Linked DNA regions of Oreochromis niloticus. The protein of the gene in region 1 binds, or shares a complex with, the protein of each later gene. Links are inferred from orthologs where the notes say so. Each region holds a gene or a part of one and is shown on either strand. Other genes may lie near its edges.

The links.
Region 2: the proteins of lzts1 (region 1) and asb7 are in contact, whole or in part, in a crystal structure (PDB 8Y1U), measured with the Homo sapiens proteins. The link is inferred for Oreochromis niloticus from reciprocal best matches to the Homo sapiens genes LZTS1 and ASB7. Residues at the interface, in NP_001349813.1 of Homo sapiens: Arg346, Glu348, Leu349, Leu352, Met353, Glu355, Gln356, Leu358, Leu359, Glu360, Lys362, Leu363, Arg364, Ser365, Tyr366; in NP_937886.1 of Homo sapiens: Asn46, Trp48, Ala56, Ile79, Phe82, Tyr87, Met90, His91, Asp116, Trp118, Val123, His126, Tyr127, Ser147, Lys149, Thr151, Gln155, Leu156, Ile159, Arg160, Phe182, Arg185, Tyr186, Ile189, Lys190, Arg210, Leu220, Leu223.

What each region holds. Positions count from the first base shown.
Region 1 is NC_031977.2:14,321,986-14,332,376, reverse strand, and holds the start of lzts1 (leucine zipper putative tumor suppressor 1), read right to left. Parts: upstream 3,967-10,391; 5' UTR 3,737-3,966; intron 1-3,736. UniProt on the Homo sapiens protein: Involved in the regulation of cell growth. May stabilize the active CDC2-cyclin B1 complex and thereby contribute to the regulation of the cell cycle and the prevention of uncontrolled cell proliferation. May act as a tumor suppressor.
Region 2 is NC_031965.2:5,045,699-5,055,996, reverse strand, and holds the start of asb7 (ankyrin repeat and SOCS box protein 7), read right to left. Parts: upstream 4,729-10,298; 5' UTR 4,466-4,728; intron 4,417-4,465; exon of another isoform or gene 4,169-4,416; intron 3,777-4,168; 5' UTR 3,679-3,776; intron 262-3,678; 5' UTR 249-261; coding exon 8-248; intron 1-7. Other genes in the region: lins1 (protein Lines homolog 1), read left to right, coding at 5,242-5,628, 5,704-5,793, 7,884-8,016, 8,331-8,921. UniProt on the Homo sapiens protein: Probable substrate-recognition component of a SCF-like ECS (Elongin-Cullin-SOCS-box protein) E3 ubiquitin-protein ligase complex which mediates the ubiquitination and subsequent proteasomal degradation of target proteins.

The DNA.
Region 1 (10,391 bases):
CTTTATAGCCTACGGTTCGATCCTCTGAATGCAAAATGCCGAACGCGCTGCTCACACTGTGATGTAACGCATTAGATAACTGGAATCAATCTTTGGCTCACACTAAGTAAATAATGGTTCACAGACAATGAAATGGACATTCCTATTATCCCAACATGACAGTGAAAATTTAAATCACCAATTACGGTGCGAAGAGAAGAAGACACAGTTCACATATGACAGCTGAGTATTTCACAGAGACTAATCGGTGCATAGGTTAAATTATTGAAAAGCAATACTCTTTCTCTGTCATTCTCTGAAGGCTGTCAAGGCCTCAGTCTCTCACTCACTCACACACACACACACACACACACACACACACACACACACACACACACACACACACACACACGCACACACACACACACACACACACACACACACACTTTCTCTATCTTGTGTCTTACTCACAAGACTGAGTTGTGGGGATGAGTAATGTGGCCTCCAGCAGAACATCAACTGGGAATGAAGTGTGGAACAGAGACGGTCATCTATCTTTCACTTTCACTGCTAACACATCTATCTACTGACCAAGCACACATGCACACACACACGCACACACACACACACACACACACACACACATACAAGTACACACACACACACACACACACACACACACACACACACACACACACACACACACACACACACACACACACACACACACACACACACACACACAATGACATCCAATAGCAGCTAATTGGGTAATCCTTTTAGTGCATTGTAAAGGAGATCGAGCATGAATAGGGCTTCAATGCTGAAGTGCAGAATACCAGACACTCATTACTGCCCTGAAGTAGGGAGATGGAATACCAGGCACAGAGAGAGGCACAAGCAGAAAGAGAGAGACACTGACTTGGAAGGACTGTGTGTGCGTGAGAGAAGGCTATTTATTCTGTGCAGCTAACATTGCATTATCCATTGACAACTATTGTATTGCCCAGCATACAGCCCATGTATCCTCTGTTTGAGATATAAGGGTCAGGATACAGAAAGAGGTTTAATTATGAATAATAAAAGTAAACAATTTTTGCATATTAATGTGATCTCAGTGTCTCCTTTTGGCAACCAGGCAACTTTGACTAGAGCTCAGCTTTTAGTGAGACCCCCCAGCCCGAAATTAGATTGCATTCAGATGCTATTATGTGCATCCAAATGAGACATTAGGTCAACCAAACCATCAACCTCCATGGGTTTTAATAGATAAGGAGGTCGTCTGCACTATTCATTGGCTCTGTATGGCTGGCCAACTACTGCTCTTGTAGTGCGTGCATTTGCATAACCTTGGCAGTTGGAGTGTAGAGGAAAATGTATTTTTAATGGAGTCTAAATGGGAACCTTTAGTGTCGCGACAAGCATGGAAACTAATGCTCATGAATTCAAGAAGTCCTAAAATTAAATATCTCAAATGTCCTTTTATATTTCCTTATTGAGCTGCATCCGCCCATACTCGATTGGTTATTACCTTACAATGCGTTTCTGCACCTTTTTGTTGTAATACCTCAAACATGCGCAGTGCCATGGAACCAGTCCAAAAAAGGTTTTAAAGACTTGCATGCATCTTCTGTTAGATAGCTCTTATCAAAGTCCAGCTCAGCTGTCATAAAATATTAACTTCTCTGGCTTTTATTCCTCTCTAAAAACAGCAACTGAAAATGTAACAAATGGAAGCGTTTTTTAGACGTTCTGAATTATTGCTCACCCATTACTCGCACATATACTTTTTCCATTACTTGTCACCCGTTTTGAACAGCCTGTCCTATTCGTGTCTGATATGACAGCCTTTTTATTATAAAATTCAAATTTGATTGATTGCCATAAAAGCTTTGTTGCGATGCTGTTTGCACATTAACAGAGGATTCGGAAAAAGACTTCATGGTTATGGCCAAAAATATAGAAGTCACATTTGCTAATACATTTTACTGCTGTCAGATCAGTTATTTTGTTCTGGTGTTATAAAGGTGTTATAATGCCTCGTCAGGCTATATTTTGTATCAATGATAGGGCATGAGAACTTTTAGTATATAGACGTTTGGATTTCGCACACAGTCACACATACTTATTATGATTTATCCTAGCTTAAGAGGTGGATAACATGTATAGGTAGGTAGAAAAGAATGAGGCCTTTCCTGGCACTGAAGCCTGATGACCCCCAAAAGCTGAATACTCAATGATAAGATTGTCATTCTTGAGCATAACTGCCTCCCATCCTCCTAATCTTCTGTGGCTGTGCGTGTGTGTGTGGATGGTGTAATGTGGGAGTAAGAGGAAGTAAGGAGGAAGACACAATGAGCTCACTTTAAGGGGGTCTATATCATCCCAAAAGCAGCTGGAGATATTTGCTGCAGGCGATACCTGTGCTCAGCTCCAAAATAAAGGCCCTCTGACCTTGTTTTGCTACTTTGTTTATTTCAGGGAAATTTTCTTTCAGAAGTCTGACTTGGGATAATTGGGAAGAGTCATGAGCTGATATTCATCTACTGTTTACTTCTAAACAGAAACAGTTTCATTCCTGAAAAGTTAACTACTGTGGATGTAGGAATGTTGGGTTGCCTTGCTTCTTTGGCAGAGCCTTCATTCACGAGTGGATGCTGTTATATAGGTATCTGGGACAGTTATTTTAAGAAGCATCTCCTTTAGCAGGTCATGACAGCTTCAAATGATTGTCACACGGTAATGAGCAAAGCATTAGTTATTGAAAAAAGCCAAAAAAACCAACCCAAAACGGAATCATCTGTCAAGTCTCGATATTTACATAAAAAATGATCTCTGCTGTGTACATAAAAAACAAACAAACAAACATCTCAGCCAGTGAAATGACAGGGAACTGTCTATTCCCACTTTTTTTTTACTCTCACATTCCTTGGTACAATTCCTCCCCTGTGTTTTTCTCCACACAATAATTTGGTACAAACAAAGCTGAACATGCCTGTACAAGTGCCCTATACTTACCCACTCACCTTGTCACCTGCACAATGTACAAGAATTCATGTTCTCAGCAGGTCTCAACACATATCTCACTGTACGCGAGTGTGACAGCAACTGGGAGTTGGCGAAACAGCTCTCCTTCATGTGTTACAATTAATTGTATAAAAGAAACAGCAATATTTAGGAACCGTGGGTTGGTGGGGGGTTACTTTAGGTAATCACTGGGTGGGGAATACACTTGAAAATCATGTTGAAAACACCTATAACTACCAGCTTAGCCTTCGGGGGTATTTATATCCCAGGAGTTGTTGTGTTTATATCAAATCAAACCTCACGCTGGTCCCTATTATTTTAAGCTTTTTTAAAACAATGGTTTGCCCAGTAATGGCTGAGCTGAATGAAAAGAGCCCGAGTGGCAGTTTTCTGGGTCGAAATCAGACATTTCATTTATAGCCAGTGTGTCCTCAACACAGACATGATTTCATTTTAAAATTCAGTTTACATTTAACAAGCAAAAGCCTTGGACTGCTTCCATGCGTAGAAACATTGGAATTATTACTAATGTTAGCTGTAATTTGGTATGATCATAAAGTGATCCTAGTTCATGCTGCTTAAACTTTGCAAATCGCACACTTAAATAAGGAGGAATCTGCTTGTATCCTGCTTGAACTGCAAGGCTTTGAGCCTCGCACGAGTCTCTGCCATCATTTCAGATCCAGTCAGAAAGCCATGCTGTCTTTGAGTACCTGTAGTGGTGACTTACCTCCATTATTCTTTGCCTCCACAGTCTCAGTCACTTCTGCTTTTGCCCCGTCTCCCAAGCTTTGTGATCTATGAGCAAACCATCCTTAGCCGAACACTGGCAGGGCCGGTGTGGGGAAAAAAGTGATGTCTGCTTTTGTTGTTTGAGGTCTCTTAGGTTCCTTTCCTCAGACCTCTTCAATACCTGGAACACTCAGTCCGTCCCGTCTCCCATACTCTCTCACATTCCTTCATAAACTTCTCTCTCGCTCTCTCTCTCTCCCCTCCCCTCTCTGTATCCTTCTTGCCTCTCCCCTGAACTCCCTCCCACTCTCTCCTTCAATCTTAACATTTGCCACTCTGTCTCATCCTCCTTCCAGCTTTGATATATATTTTATTGTTTTTTCAAAGCCTTTTGGATCATTCAATAAAAAGTGTTATTTTTCTTAGCATTATTAGTTATGTTAGATAAATATTATTTATATATATACTTATATATTTATTTGCCCACTAGTTCTTCAGGATTCATGCTATTTCTTGTTCCCTGCAAACATCGCTCCACCTGTCTCTTCCTACTTTTCTTCTTTATTAACTAACTAATTAATAACTTACTGCCTATGTATCCATACAGACTGTAAATCATCCATCGCCACACCTCTAAGGCACACTCAGTTTTCCAAAGCGGTCAAAATACCTCAGTGCTTGAAAGTGTACAGTGTCAAAAATGAATCCCTTAGTGTTCTTTTCTTGTGAGACCATGTGTGACAGTGTAATTACTTGAACCTGTGCAGCCCATATGTGTGCATGTGTGCACCAGCAGGTAAGTTAGTGAGTGGCTGTGGGGTGGATGACTCATACTGTTACCCACCTTGCTGCGCTGCTGTAGATTTAACCCGCTTCACTGCATCAGCCGACTTTGCCGTCTCTCGCGTACACAAAGGAAGCTCTGCTTTGTTTTATTTATGTTACAGATGAGTTGAATAAATCACCGGGATGGCAGGTTATAACCCCACAGCGTAGTCTTGGCAGAATACCCATTTGATGTGCCTCAGCTCCCGTTTCGTCTTTCTGTGTCCGTCATGTTTCTCTGTTCCTGTCTGCATATCTTTCTTCTTGGTGTTAGTTTCACCTTTTCTTTCTCTTTCTTCTTTTACAGTCTAACCTCATTTGTTATTCTTAATCTTCAGCCCCAGAAACCTCAAAGACTGCTGCATCACAATTAGAAGTATCTAAACTTCTCCGTCGTTCAGGATTAATGCAATAAAATAAAGTTTGAACTCCTTTGTTGGCTGTGAATAAAACGTTCTATAAGTGCTCATTGCCATCTGGGCATATTTGGTGGAGATACAAAGACTTCTGTCGGTGTTGCTGATGTGCCAGATTTTCTTGAACTGACACTGCGCTTTAGAGTCTGGGCGATGATATGTAATGAGCAGCCAGGAGCACAGTCAGAGATACACCTTTATACTCAATGGGTGGCAAAATAGGCATGCCTATATTTAATAGCGTGTTTGGGGCAATTGTTAAAAGCCTGTAATTTTAGTCGTGACCAATCTCGTTTCAGTGCTTCACAGCATCATTTCCCCCTTTGTATTGTTTGTTGCCTGTTGCTCCTGCTAAACATACCCAGGTTGCTGTGTATGTGCGTGTGATGATGACAAATCTGCTGCCATGATAAAATTCAGTCTGTTTTTGTATGTGTGTCTAAAGATGTAAAATGAGGAGCGGTGCTGTTAAAAATATTTATTATTTGTGTACCTCAGCACTCATGCGTGTTTGTGTCTAGCGTGCGTGTAAGGCTCTTTGTGTATTTACACTCACTGTCATATTAATCTTCTAGTGAGTCTCTAAAGATTGCGTTATACAGGAAAACTATTAAAAGATGTTTTGTGTTTTCAGCTAAAAGTGAAAGAAGTAGCGTGATTACTCATGTGAGTTTTATGTTTTCTGGACTTTGACAAGCAGCTCGGGCTGTCAGGCTGTGAATGGGCTGCAGGAATTGATTGGATTTTTATGTCAAATTTACTCTTCCAGAACGCGCCTCCTTTTCTTGGCCTGGCCCCATCTTCCTGCTTATCTTCACTCACCCCCACAGACATAAATAAGCGCATGGATGAAGATCAATACCTTGTTGAATAAAAAGACCCTGCATAATGGTGTTGACCCAGCTGGCACAAGCAAGTGACCCTAATCAGTGGCCAGAGGAAGGACACAGCGAAGTGAAAACACATAGATGGCCATACAGAAGTTGCACCTATGCTTCCGTACGTAAAACCATCCTCGTGTGTGTTCGTGTAACCCCACACTTGCATTTGAGATTTGGGTTAGGGTGCAAAAACAAGGACACAAAAACACACACACAGCTGAGCTTAAAATCCAATTTCTTATGTAAGTGTGCTCAGCGCACATACCTTTTTGGCAGACTGGTGGATGTAGGCAGCTGAATGTGTATCCTGTGTGAATCCGTATGGAGATAAAATAGTCGTAGTCAAGTCATGATAGTCTTGTACTCTGAACAAACATGTACAGTAGCTGCGTGATGTGTAAGTATTGTTGTAACGCTACTGTGAAGATTAGCTTTCCAAAATAATCTCTGACGTTGCCTTTTGCTGAAACATTAGTCTTAAATTTAAGTTGATCAAATAAATAAAGGTGCAGAATTAGGTCAGGTCCCTTTTATTTATACTTTACAGCTTCTATGTAACTATGTTCTATCAGGAATCACTTTTCTGGTGAAATATTTAAGGTATCATTTCCTTCAATAAAATCAGTGTTCACCGTGAGAGGTCGTCATAATAGTAATCGACAGTAATAAATGAAACCCAAACCTCTTCGCCACAGGAAAATGCCCCTCTTTTGGGTTGTAAACAGGTAGCAGTAACATTGACGCTCCAGTTTAATTACTGCGAACTACTCCCCAGTGCTCCTTCTATCTCTCTAATAGCATTTCCTCTGCTGTCTGAAATAGTTTGTGGCTACCACACTAGGCCCTCCATCATTTAAACTGTCTATTTGGGGAACATTCAACCCTCCAGAACTTGAATCACTCAGCCCTGTGAAAAAAAATTAGGTATGCATTCGTCTGAGTTAGGTGCCTCTGCACTAACAAGCTGAATGGCCTTCGGTAATCCTCAGGCCTCGGTCTTTTCTCCTTTCTGAAGTGCTTTTCTCTCTCTTTTTTATCTCCTGTCAAGGCTGACAGCTCCACTGTGCATCAGCATGTTCACCTGGGGCCGAGCAGAAGGGCAGATAGAGATAATATTGACAGAAGTCGTAGTCCGACAAAGATAAATGATGTCACCGAGAAAGAAAGGAGTGGAGAGAAAATTGGACAAGAAGTGTAAGAATTGAAGAAAGAAAGTGATGGAATTTGAGCAAGAAAAGGAGGTAAAGAGGCCAAGGTGAGGTCTGGGTGCACAAAAGTAGGGCTTGAGCTAAGGCTTTATTGATTCTGTTGGCTTTGTCTGTCACCGCCCCAGGGGACACACTTGGCCTATGATGTATGGCTGCTTCATTCTCTGCTGCTGCAGCAAGGGACACAAGTCAGGGAGTCAGCCACTACAGGGACCTTGTTTTACGCTGCTGGTACAGCAGAGCCAGGGCAGCCCTCCGAGCCATGTACATCACAACTCCACTGAGAGGTGGCGCGACCCAAAGAAAGCAAAAGAGACTTCCACCTGCTCGTTGACCTGAAGGAACATGGCTTCCAGCTAAACTTCATTTATCTCCCACTCCCGCTGTGCGGCAAAAAATACACGAACGAGTCGTCGATAAATAAAACCCATACAGATATTTTTGTATTTCTCTCTTGCGTGAAAAAAAAGGAATGTACAACTTAACCCATTTCAAGAGATGAACTCAGAGTAAGTGCGCATACGTACACACACAGATGGCCGCACATCAAAGCATTGATAGCTGTCTCTCTCTGCGCGAAGGCAATTTGCTCTGCCCAAGATCTTGCGCACCGGTAGCATATAAATAAGCTTGGCACCATGTGGTCGGAGAGCACAGTAACAGCCCGTCAGGTTAGATGAGGACAATAAAGTTGTCTACTTGCACACCCAATGAGTGGCACATTTTGAGAAAGTAGTACACAGAGATACTGATGTTGTCACCGAGACACTCACGCAGGCAAATACTGGGGTTATTAGTATTGATTTAATGTGCCTTGCTTAACTCCGCTAAGCCACAGTTTGATGAGACTTTAATTCATCAACATACTCTCTCTGTTGAAGGTGTCGGGCACCGAGCCGGGGCATTGTCTTCACAGACAAAAAGGGATGAACTAACTTCAGATAAAAGTCTGGGTTGAAAACACGCACAGATCTCCTCATCAGTATACATCTCGAGCCCTCAGAAATGTGCACACGTGAGAGGTTAACGGTAGGACAGGAACGCCTCTGGCGCTCAGTGAATCTTTCTTTGGAGCTTCCAGTTGCTATTTCACACTCATTTTACCTTTCAAACTACATTTGCACATAATCCAATTAAGTCACGGGGTTAGTAAAAGAACTGTTGCTGATGATTTGAGTTTTTGATGCATGGGCACAGAGACTTCCACGGTGCCTCTTCCCATATGCGGTGCAGATGGATCACCGCTGAAGTCACCATCCTCCACTTGTTTTGCCCTGCAGGTGTTGTGTGCATAGTATAAATTTCACAAATAAAGCCATCCATCTCTCCCTCTGGTTAACACTTCAGACGCTAACAACAGTTAACTGCTTTGAGAAGTCTTAAGCATCCACTAATAGGGATTATATGGAGTGTAACTGGGCTATAAATTGCAGAGAGGTGCACAGTCAAATAGCGTGAACAGAATAGAAGAATATACCAAACAGTTTGTCTCTCTCAGAGAACAATTAGGCGATGCCGGGTCAAGAAGACAGTTTTATTTGGTTTATTATTTTGATAGTGCTGACATTCAATTGAGACACACTCAATGAGTGTTTCACATGAATCATGAAAATAGAGGTCTGCAAGCCAGCAGTTATTACTTTGCAAAGAGACCAAGCTCGTGAAAAATGGCCCCACATTTCTATAATAATCAAGCCGCTGTGAATTCTGGCACAGCGCTAAACAAATGTGTTAATACACCAATTAAAAAAGGGGCCCTGCTGCACTAATGCACCTCTAAAAATCCTGCTGCAGTCATAATACCTGCTTGTGATTCTAGTCTTTTTTTTTTTTTTGCATCAGTCTGTTATTCTGTGCCACAAGCAGCTCGTGAGCCCCGGTACCTTAAAATAAACCCACTTTCACATAACCTATTTCCCACAGCCATTTTACCCCTCCTGATCTTTCCTGATCACTTTATCCTTTTTAACATAGCTAAAGTCACCAAGGTGTGATGACAGCAAGAGGTTGAAATGCAAAAAATAAAAAAGCTTCTTAAAGAAAAAAAAGTTGGAACCAGTGCAAGTCCCCAGCCTTGGTGTTACTGTATGCAGAGAAGTTGCTTATCGGTTTCACAAGGGGGCAATGTTGCCATTCACTTCATGAATCCAGGTCTTCTCAAGAATTAGTTTTCCTTTTAGATGATATCATGCACGAAACAAAATTATGTTATTCCTCATGAGCAGGAGGGAAGTATTAACAACAGTTTCCCAGTTTCTCTTCTTGGTTAAAATTAGCGGAGTGCTGATACAGGGGGCAGTCCCTCCATTGTGCTCGCAGCACACTGGGTCCCTGTTAATTTCCCAGCTCAGTGGCGAGGCAGTCATTATCTGAGGATGGGCATCTACAATGGATAATTATTCTGGGAAAAGGATTTCAAACTGTGGAGAAAATACTGCTTTCAACACAGGGGCCTGAATGCTCAAAATCACTGGCTAGCATTTAGTCACTGTCATTACGTCTTTCTATCTGCCCCCCCCCAAAAAACAAAAATGCCCAGTAGTGATTTGGACCAACCCCTGAAAAATAATCCCCCCCCCCCAATGCCCATTCCCTTTCCCCCCTACATAATTCTATATTTATTGCTGTTTTAAATCTCATTTCCAAATGAGCTTGCTGGCTGGAGAGACCAGATAATAGAGTGTGTAATTTGAGTGGACCACTAGGCAGAACAGGAGAGTGGACACAAACAGAAATGCAAGCAAACCAGCGAACACAGGTGCATACACATAAAACATATACGCAAATACACTGTGAAGGCTGTGACGTGTTTTACTTACTGTTGAGCCGACATCAGTAATTACTTTCTTTTGTTTCAAAGGTAGCTTTTTCGTGGTGGTGGTGGTGGGTGGGTTGTTTTAAATTGTCTCTCTCTTTATGAGAAACTGTATTTAAATCCATACCAAACGCTTGCCTGAGAGTCCATTTATCTTTATTCATACACTGACTTAAAAAAATGATGAATAGGTTGGCTGTCCAACTGTGATAACAATCCCCTTCTACTGCCAATCATTTTAACAAGTTAAAAGATAAATTACTTGACATAACGTCATGTCAGTCTTATCTCTACCTTTTATGTGCAGATCAATACTGTGGTCAATTTCTTCCCGTTTGAAGCGACTTCATTACAGCAGTTCTAGGCAAAGCTAAAAGTTTAGACAGACCCCATAGTCGCTCTGTAGCGCTGACCCTCCTGGAGTTTAATTTCTTCATATGCATTACAAAATTAGACAAAAACTAATTCCTTTTGCCGTGTACCTCATATCACGTGGGGGGAAGAAATC
Region 2 (10,298 bases), on another chromosome or scaffold:
GTCTGACCTCCATGCTCCAGAAAAACTCGAACACATCTCTCTTTTCCCTTGGCTGCTGAGAAGTGAAGCAGTGTCCAGCCATTGGCATCGCGGATCTTTGGTGAATATCCTTGCTCCAGCATTCTCCTAACAGTGTATACATCCCCTGCTGCCACTGCAGCCTGGATCTGCAGCTCTTCATGAAGCTCAGGGTTCCTTCTGCAGTGGTGGTTCAACATCCTGTCACATTTCGGAATGGTAATTTTCATCTGTACCTAAGCTCTGTTTAAAATAAATAAATAAAAATCAGTAAATATATTCAGATTCAGATGGGTACATTAAGCATGACTGAAATTAAGTTCAGACTTACGGCCATGGCTTTTAATCTGAAAAGACAATACTAAAATTGAAAAAGTAGTTTAACACATAACTTGATGATAGAGGTGGCCTAAGAGCCTGTGTCAGTTTAAGTGTCATTTTCAATAAACTGCATGATCAAATTTTTTTTTTTTTTGTCTCGCTCCCATTTCTTCTTGTTGCATGCTAAAGCTCTACTTGATCCTTGTTAAGATCCAACCATGAAAAATATGATTTTTTGCCATTTTTCAAGTATGTAAGTGAAGTTGGCCCCCCCACCTTCTTCAAATCCAACAAAAGTGGTGTCAAATGTTTGCGCTGGTTTGTGCTACAGAAATTTTTGTTTGTGCCGCTATCATTTTAAAGATATTAGCGGCACAAACAAAAGTTTTAGCAGCACAAACCAGCATAAACGTAGCACAATCGTTTGACACCACTTTTCTTTGATTTGGGTAATGTGGGGGGGCTGGTTGACCTTGACATTTTTATTAATATCTTTAAAATGATAGCGGCACAAACAAAATTTTTTGCAGCACAACGTAGCACAGTTGATTGACACCAATTTTTATTTACTTTATTAATGTGTGTGTGTTGGATTTGAAGAAGGTGGGGGAGCCAACTTCACTCACATTTTTCAAGTGGTCTTAAACTTTTGATTGGGACTGTATCTGGCCGATCTGAGGATATTTTAATGGCTAAAATAAATTTGTGCAAAACCCAACTCATTCATACATTACAGTACAGTGTCTGCCCACCTCTGACCACCGCCTTAGTGCAACATAGATCTACAATTTAAGCAGTTCATTGTAGATCTGACAGATTTGAATGGACATACATGGCAGACAAAACACACAAATCAAGCACACACAGGTGGTGCATTAAAAAAAATATATAAAAATCAAAATCAATATCAAAATGTTAAAGAAAAAGAATCAAAATAATACTGAAATGGTGTACTAATGATGTTCAGAAGTTTTTAAGGGTTAACATTAATAATGAGCTTCCTCAAATATTGAGGAAACTCATTATTTGATCTAGGGCTGAGCGATGATGAAAATCTAATATCTATATCTCATGATATGTTTAAATAACCTCCAGAATCAAATGTTTTTTTCAACCACATGAGTGCGGAAGGAAAAACTCCCTTTTAACAGGAAGAACCCTCCGGCAGAACTAGGCTCTGGGAGGGGCGGGGCCATCTGCCATAACCGGTTAGGGAGATAGTAGGAAGACAGGATAAAAGACATGCTGTGGAAGAGATTAATAACAAGTATGACTCAAAGCAGAGAGGTCTATTAACACATGAAGAAGAAATACTCAAAGCATCATGGGATTTGTTAAGTGTAGATAGTTAAATGCAATAGCAAGTTGTGCCTTGTTCTCAGAAGGACAGCAAGTGGACAGCGATAGATGAGATGAGGAGATGGAAGGAGGAAGAGAGGCAAAGAGTGATTCACAGGCAGAGCCTAGTTCATTTCCCACAGTTTTTTTTAATCTGTTGCCTTACGGTTCCAAGCACTGTCACCGATCTTTGCATTTCATTATTATCTCACAACACAATCAGCTACCATATCTCCTACAGACTTTTTAAATGTCTACAGTGTCAGATCAACACAGCCCTGCCCTCCAGCACTATCAGCAGCAGGAGCAGCAGCAACACCTCAACAGCAACATTGTACCCATCAGGCAAGAAATGGGCTACCTTTGCTTTGCCTTATCCCCACCTGATAACAGTGATACAGTATGATGCGAATCCATATTAGATTTTTGAAGAATATGGGTTGTTGTTATTCACTCTGGTTCCATGTGCCCCTTTTTAACTTTCAGCACCCACCCCTTCAAAAATCTCTACACAGCCCTGGCTGTCAATAAGGGAAATGGCTACAAAGAACAATGCCGTGGTCCCAGAGTCTGCCGAAAAGCGACAGACCGAGCAGGAGGTGTATTCTTGCCTCGACACCCACCTTTGTTGTAGCGTTTGTGTTGCATGTTAATTACGTCACAGGACACTTGGACGTGTTGCTATGACAATGAAAACACACATTAGGTTGTACTTGATTATAATGGAAAACCAGTTAATCCAAGTCGAGTCGTGGCGATTCAAACCGAGCAGGTACTAATGGGAAAGGAGCCTATCTGATCTTGAGCTGCTTTTCTGCTTCTCAATACTTTTCCCATCGCTCTGGTTAAAGTTAATCTTTGTTTTATGTATGTACCACACTGTTGATCTGGCCACTGCCAAATTTCTTACCATCTCTCTCTGGTTTATTGTGTTTTTTTTTTTCCAGCCTAGTGATGGTGTACCTTGTATGCACTGCCATCTGTCTGAGACTTATATTTAAAATTGCAAAACTACAAATACAAAATCAGCTCTATGAGTCAACTTCAGGCATCTGCTTCATTTGCGATGACATAGCGAGGAAACTGCTTTGGAGACAACTGTCCAGTTAATTTTAAGCATCTAAAAACAGGGGACTGCAAGAAAAGGGTGTAAGCCGCCTCTTACTGTACTGCAGTTGGGATAGGCTCCAGCCCCTCCATCACCCTAAATTTCTCAGCAGTTAATCCAAACTCTGAAAAAACATAGACTTAAAGCTCAAAGTCTGCACTTGAACACATTTGACTTAAAATCCAGACTGGTGGAATATAGAGTATATTTTCTACTCTGAGCACTCAAAATGGGTTATACAACTTGCCTCATTCACACAATCATACTATACTGTTTCTATCTAAGCTTTCTATCTAACATTCACACGCATTCACTGACAGATGCATCTTGCCCAAGGATATTTGGCACGCAGACTGGAGAGATGAGGATTGAACCACCAACGTTCTGATTAGCAGGTGCTCTACCACCTGAGCTACACCAAAACTTCAAAAGACCATCAAATCAATTTTTTATTAAATTATTAACATTTCATTATTGCTGTTGTGATTTGTGATAAAAAATCATTGAATTCAATTTAAAGATTTGGTTGATCTCAGAATTGCACAAATAATTTATAAAGCAGCAAACAAATCTTTACTCCACGACATTCAGAACTTTATTAATTTAATTCAGTCTTACTGAATAAAAAGCAGAAAACTTGGAATTTAAATATTAAAGAGACAAGACTATAAAAGTTGTATATATCCCCACAAAAATGTAATTATAAATTAAGTTGTTTGAAAATGTACATGTGAGACAGTCACTTTTTTGCTTCAGCTAACAAAGGCTTAACCATTACTTGATAAAGAGGTCTAGCAAGTTTTTTGTGGTTTCCTTGTTGGGAGAAATTATGCTGCTGTTAAAAAAAAAGAAAGAAAGAAAGAAAAGCTCATGTTTTAGATACTAAAATGTACCTTTTGACCAGCTGAAGAGATGGACTTCTTTTAGTCATATCAGAGCTGCATTTGCAGATGTACTGGTGCACACTGTGAGGAACTGAGAATATGTTTCCCTGTGGCACACAAACACAGTCATCAAAAAAAGATTAGAGGCAATGAAGAGTATTGTGAACACTAACGGACATAGTCAATTGGTCATGGATACACCCCAATTATTGCTGAAAACCATAACAGCCAAACAATAGTAATAACCAGAGAGTTAAATACAAAAAAATAATTATATGCATATACACTACCCAAAGGTAAACTTGCTAATTACACTATTTTTATCCAACCTGAGAAAACTTTGCAAATGAATGAAAATGTAACTATCTGTCATTACCTTAAACCTTAAAAAGTTTGGCTCGTTAAACTCGTTTATGAGAAACAATAGACAACACTGTGCCTTTATTTGCTAACATGACCAATAATACAAAACACGCACAAGTATACAGATATAACTTACAGAAGCTCGGCGGTGAAGATAGCTCATTTCCACCACCCCAGAAAGTGTAATGAAAGTAGATCCTTTTAGAATAACCCATGGTTTACGGCTGTACGTTTCTTAGAAGGTTAGCTGCAGCTAGTTAGCCAGAAAGCTAACAAACTCATTCGCTCGTTTTTAATTTTATTTCGCTTCATTTTACTTTTTACACTATTATAATTGGGTAGAAATAAACCCCAAAACACGGCGTGTGTGGATATTAAAAGGAATTCTACGCCTTTATTGACAAAACAGCAGCTCTATAAAACAAAGACTTACTTGTCAGACGCTGAACCGACGTGTAACTGAGCCAATCAGCTTTCAGGTAGACGGAACGATTGAAGTTGTCAAAGCCGCATAATTCCGTTACTTTCAGCACAAATACAATACTAAACAAAGAAGCTAGTGTCAAACTTTTATCTATATCTTTGTAGGTAATGACAAGAATAATCTAACTGTCCAACACTAAGACTTAATCACAGAGTGTCTGCGAAGAGCTTCACCAGCGTGACTCCATCAGCAAAAACAATAACACTTCCGTCTGCAGACTTTCACAATATAAGCATAATTTCCACAGCTCCAAGCACGTCAAGAACTACCATTTGCAAAGCAGACGTATAAAATGAATTTTTGGATGCAATTAATTTAAAATAAATCAGAAAGGCAAGGAAGCGTGCATATATGATGATGCTATACTGATCAATCAATTTGCAGATTAATGATCATAAAACTAACCTCACGGCCCATTGTTATTCAGTGGAGCTAGTTTCCATCATTATTCTGCAGTCAGCTGAGATTAGTGGTTTGGATGAAGAAACCTTTCTCCTACAGAAAACGTCCAGTTTGACGGAATGAACTTTCTGAAAATAGACACATTATATAAATCCATGGTCATTAAAGTAATTAAAGTGCTATTATTATATTCACTATTATATATTTCCCACAATGTAAAAACAACAACAACAATATAAGGTTCTATTTTCATTTATTAGACTTTTTTATTTTATTTTGGTAATGCTTCACGTATTTTGTAGGGCTGCTTCCGTGTATATCACATGGGAGATCCACGCGGAAGTAGCAGCGCAATGGAGGGTAATATGAGTTGTAAAGACGAAGACCTGTCCATAATGACAGGGCTTTTTAACTGTTTGACAGAAGCGTACAGATGCTTTCTTGCGGGATCGTACCCCCCCCAAAATGCTGCCGATGTAGCGAGCGTAATATATTCGGGATTATGTGGACCTGTCCACGGTAAAGACAGAGAAGGTTCCCCCTCAGAGTACTGCGGTGAAAAGAATGCGGAGCTGACCTGCATGTGCATGTCTTTCCTCGAGAGGGTTTCTTCTAATCTGACGTCTCAGGGGCTGCATCCAGACGTTAAGTTTTATTATGCGGAGGTCCTAAAAGTATTGCTTGAAGACATGGATCTCATCACGCACCTTGTAAGTGCTACCACTGGTCATGGGAGTAAAGACGTAAAGTTATCTTAATAATTGATTTAATTACCTTTTCCATAGGTAAACCGGTTCCAAGCCGAGGACCACATTATCTCACATCTGGCTGCAAAGACAGCATCAAAGTGTGTTTTTTACCTTATCTGCAAATCTGTAAGTAGTCATTCTTTGGAGATTCGTTTTCAGCAACGTTTTTTTTTCCGTCTCTGAGTTGACTGAAACGCTTTAGCCTACTGTAAATCACATACTATTAAAAAATATGTAACACTGTTCATTGTGTATAATGTTAAGAATGGTGAAAAAAGCAAAGTTTTAAAGTAATGTAAAAGGAGACACCAGAAGGGTCTAGATGTTTCTGCTGAACAAAACAAGAGACTGTTTTTCAAAAGCAACGATGGAGAGTGCACGTTATTCACCAATTTACGAATGAAGCTCAATTTCTAAACTCAGTGAATCCAGAGAAATGTATTGTGTGGTTCAAAGGACAGCCTTAAACTGACCAACCTGGGATGCCCTACTGAAGGGCATTGAAGTTTGGGGTGCTGAACTGTGGTGGCGACAGAGGGTAAGCTCTAAGATATAAAAGTGTCTTGTCACAATAAAACTACCAGACCTTGCTGCTTACATGAGGCAAGAGTAAATAACCAAAACTGAAATTAAGTTGTTTGCACAGCTGAGCAAATTATAGGGGCTTAGAATATTTTAACACAGATGCAATAATAATTAAACCCCACGGGGCACACATGTCAGGCACAAACACAGGTGAGCAAATTCATTATGAAGTCACTACAAGTCCCAAGTACGAGGTTTCTTAAAAAACAGCAGTCAAGATATACAACAAACCTTTCTGGCACAGTTAAACAGAACCTATCCAAATTCAAATAATATTTTACTCGGGCAGAAAATGCTAAATTTAAAAAGACAATTGAGTACTGTTTTGCTGCAAAGACACATCCTATGTGAAAGTGCCTTGAGGTATCATAGTGACTAAGATGAACAGGGACATGGCTCAATATGTGAGCGGGGCCAGAAAGGAATTGGCAGAAACACCAGAAGGGCAAAACTTCAGCAACTGGTAGCTGGAACATTCACTCAAGACTAAGACCAGACTGGCCAACCTGTGCACCACCTGGACTTACTACGAGAAAGCCTATGACTCTAAACCTCACACATGGAACCTGGAATTCATAGAGCTACACAAAATGAGCAGAACCCTAATAGTAAAAAAAGAGAGGAAGTGCAGTCCTCTAAGGTCTATCAGAAGGCAACACACTGAAAATAGCCAATTGGGAACCATGAAAAGGCTACTAGGAAAGCTACAACAACCCAGCAAGTAAGGCAAGTCCTGAGAAGTAGCTGAATGGGAAGAACAAGATCAAGGCAATCGCCACCTACTCCCAAAGGAGGAGATCAAATCCACTGACATCAAGACAACGAAGCTTCTTACTTATGCATGTAGGGTTTCACCCCAAATCTAGCCCTCTGAGACTGTACGCTGAGCGGAGGGAAGGAGACCAAGTGCTAGTGAGTGTCAGAAGCACTATCCAGGATGAAACAACAAAGAGCCACATGATCAATTGTGGTCATCAGGAAGATGTATAGTACCATATCACCCCAATGGAGCACTTTGCTCTCAGATTGCAGATTTACTTGTGGTTACTGGGATATTTTAAAGTAGTATGCAAGGCAGAACTTTCAGGTATCAGGCACCTTTTCTGTGGACCCAGCTCCCAGCTTGGATTTGGGAGACAGAGACCCTTTCTACTTTTAAGATTAGGCTTAAGACTTTCCTTTTTCTGAAAGCTTATAGCTACGGCTGAATCGCGTGACCTTGAATCCACACAGTAGCACTAAACAGTAGACTTAGGCTGCTGGGGTTCTCTCAAGATGCACTGAACGTTTCTCCTTCTCTTACCCTTTTTTACTCACCATCTCCGGCTCTCTTCCACAGCATGTCTTTTATCTAGTCCCCCGCCCAGACTGGTCATGGCAGATGGCTGCCGTGACCTGGTTCTGACGGGTTGGACAACAGTGGAAAGGAACTCCCTTTTAAAAAGAAGGTTGAAAGGGAGTTTTTCCTCCCCACTGTTGCCAAGTCCTTACTCATAGGAGGTTATCTGTTAGGGTTTCTCTATAAAATTTTAGTGTCTTTACCTTTCAATATTGAGCGCCTTGAAGTGACTGTTGTTGTGATTTGACAGTTTAAAACTGAATTTAAGCGCTTGTATGCTTAAATTTCTTAGGGAGTTATCAGTCCTGTCTGGCAGAGGAAATGTGAACAAGCATTTCAGAACCCATGGCCTGGTGCTGAATTAGATGCCTGTTTGTGGTCACTGACTGAAGTCTCCAAAAAACTTCTTAAAGGAGCTCATCGAGGTAAACGGTGTTAGTAATTTTAATTTTCAAAGAGTCCAAAATCCACGATATCTAGGCTATAATGGTAACAAAAATACAGAAAATGAGCAAATTATCAAATTGTAGAAACTGCAGCCAGAACATTTTAAGATTTTGAACATTTCAATGAATTTACTTAAAGATGAGTTTGTTATTGAAATTGTAAATAAAATCATTTGTTCTTTAGCTAGGGTAACTCATTGGGGTAAGATATGGGCAGAAAAGAGCAACCTATGATGCTTACAGGATGATGGTTGATTTTGTCTAGTCTCACATTTTTTTTCTTCTTCCATTAGAGCTTATGACACTTCTGGCAGGTTTTGACCTCAGTCTAAGTGTTCTATGTTCAAAACTGCTCCCTGAAGAGAAGAAACACATGTCACAGCATTTAGTGGATTTTACCAGAAGCACACACTGGGGAACATCATTATGTCTACTGCTAGACCTGCTTGAGGTGCTGACTTCTTCTAGTTTGGTATGTGGAGCTGGTGTCCATTTGAAGAGTCAGAGAATAACCCACCTTCACTCGTTGGCCCTCCTAAACATCTGCTCCTCCTCAGAGTATTATGTTAAAAAGCGAGTGCTGCTTCTTCTAAAGAGAGCAATCCTTCAGAAGGCTGGAGAGGACTGGATTTCAGGGGATGTGGCGTCATGGATGACATGTGGAAACTGGAGCTCTGATATGAGCATTCTTGCTCGAACTGTGTTAAAAGCAGCTTCTGACAATTGGTTACTGAGTATTCAAATGCAGTCTGGCGCTTTCTTTGGAGGAACCAGGCACATTCTGGGAGATCAAATTCAGAACTGGGATTGCGTGATGCTGAGAGCTGTCAGCCTGATTATTCTCAAGTCCATAGAGCTTTGCATCCAAACAGCTGCAGGATCAGGTGAGAATAAAAAAACAAAAAAAAACAAAACATCACCAGTAGATATACACTTGAGATTGTGTGCAGCATGTTTGATGATCTATAATTTTTGCATAAGTACAATTAAAGGTGTTGCTGAACTTTAAACCAATTAAATTAAAAACAAATCATTTGAAGCTCTTCTTTTTGATAACCGTGATAGTACTGGGTTAGCAAACGACATAACTTCATAGGATTTTTTTTTCTCACCCAGAAATCTCAGCAGCACATTCAGTGGTAAAACAATTAAAAACAAACAAACAAAAAAAACGCTGAATGTTTCCCCTCAGTGTCTGTTCTCTCCCCCTGACCATTCAAATCAAAGACAAAAGTCTGGATGAGCAGATGTATGGGCAGAAATCTGTGCCATCAGAAACTGAATTTGAATAAGTTAAATTTGAATCTGAATTGCTCAGATTGAATCTGAATTGTAACTTGAATAAATGCTTTTGAAAACTGAATTTGAATTAGTCTAATTTGAAATTGAATTTATGGTTTAAAAATGATCATCACTAAATTGAAATTGAATTTTATTTTTGAAAATGAATTCATTTGCTTTGAAACTGCATTTTATCCTTTAAAAATTCAGCTCTCGAATAATTTCAGTTTCACTCTCACCATTCAGTTTCAGTTCTACAATTCAATTTCAGTTCCAAAATTCAGTTTTTTGGAACTTACATCCGGTTCCGGTTCAAGAGTAAACGAGCGCAGATTAATAGAACTACGTTTTACTAGCGGACCGAAAGTGTTACTGACGGGAATCTACAGTGTCTTGAGCTGAATTAAGACTTCAGAAGTCATTCGTCATGTCGAATGACCAGCGGATAAACTCTCAGGTTGGTAATAAATGTATTACATGTATAAGAACAAGCGTCATGTTAACAATTGATAGCCGTACAGTAACTTTTATGCTTATTGTAGCTGTTAGCTAAAAACGCTAATTTAGCCTAGTTTGCCCTGGATTCAGCTTTGACAAACAAATATGATCGACTGTTTCTAGTAGAATTCCAAAGTTGTCATCTTGTACCCTGTCAGAGCCCTGTATGCTTGCAGAGACCCCTACAGTAGGGAAACATGCAAAACAGTGTCCAAACCTTTGTATTTTAGCTTTATTTATGTCTTACACAGCATCCCAACTCTTTAGCTAACTTAATAACTTTAGCTAAAGTGAATAGTTAGTCTAATTCATTAGTGCAGCATTACTGGATCACCTCCGTTTGAAGTGATATAATATGATATACAACTATCACTGAAACAGCAAACTTTGTAAATAAACAACACTAATCATTCTCTAAACGTTTGGCCACAGCTGTAGATTACACTATCAGTGCTTTTTCACTCTTGACAATAATTACATTT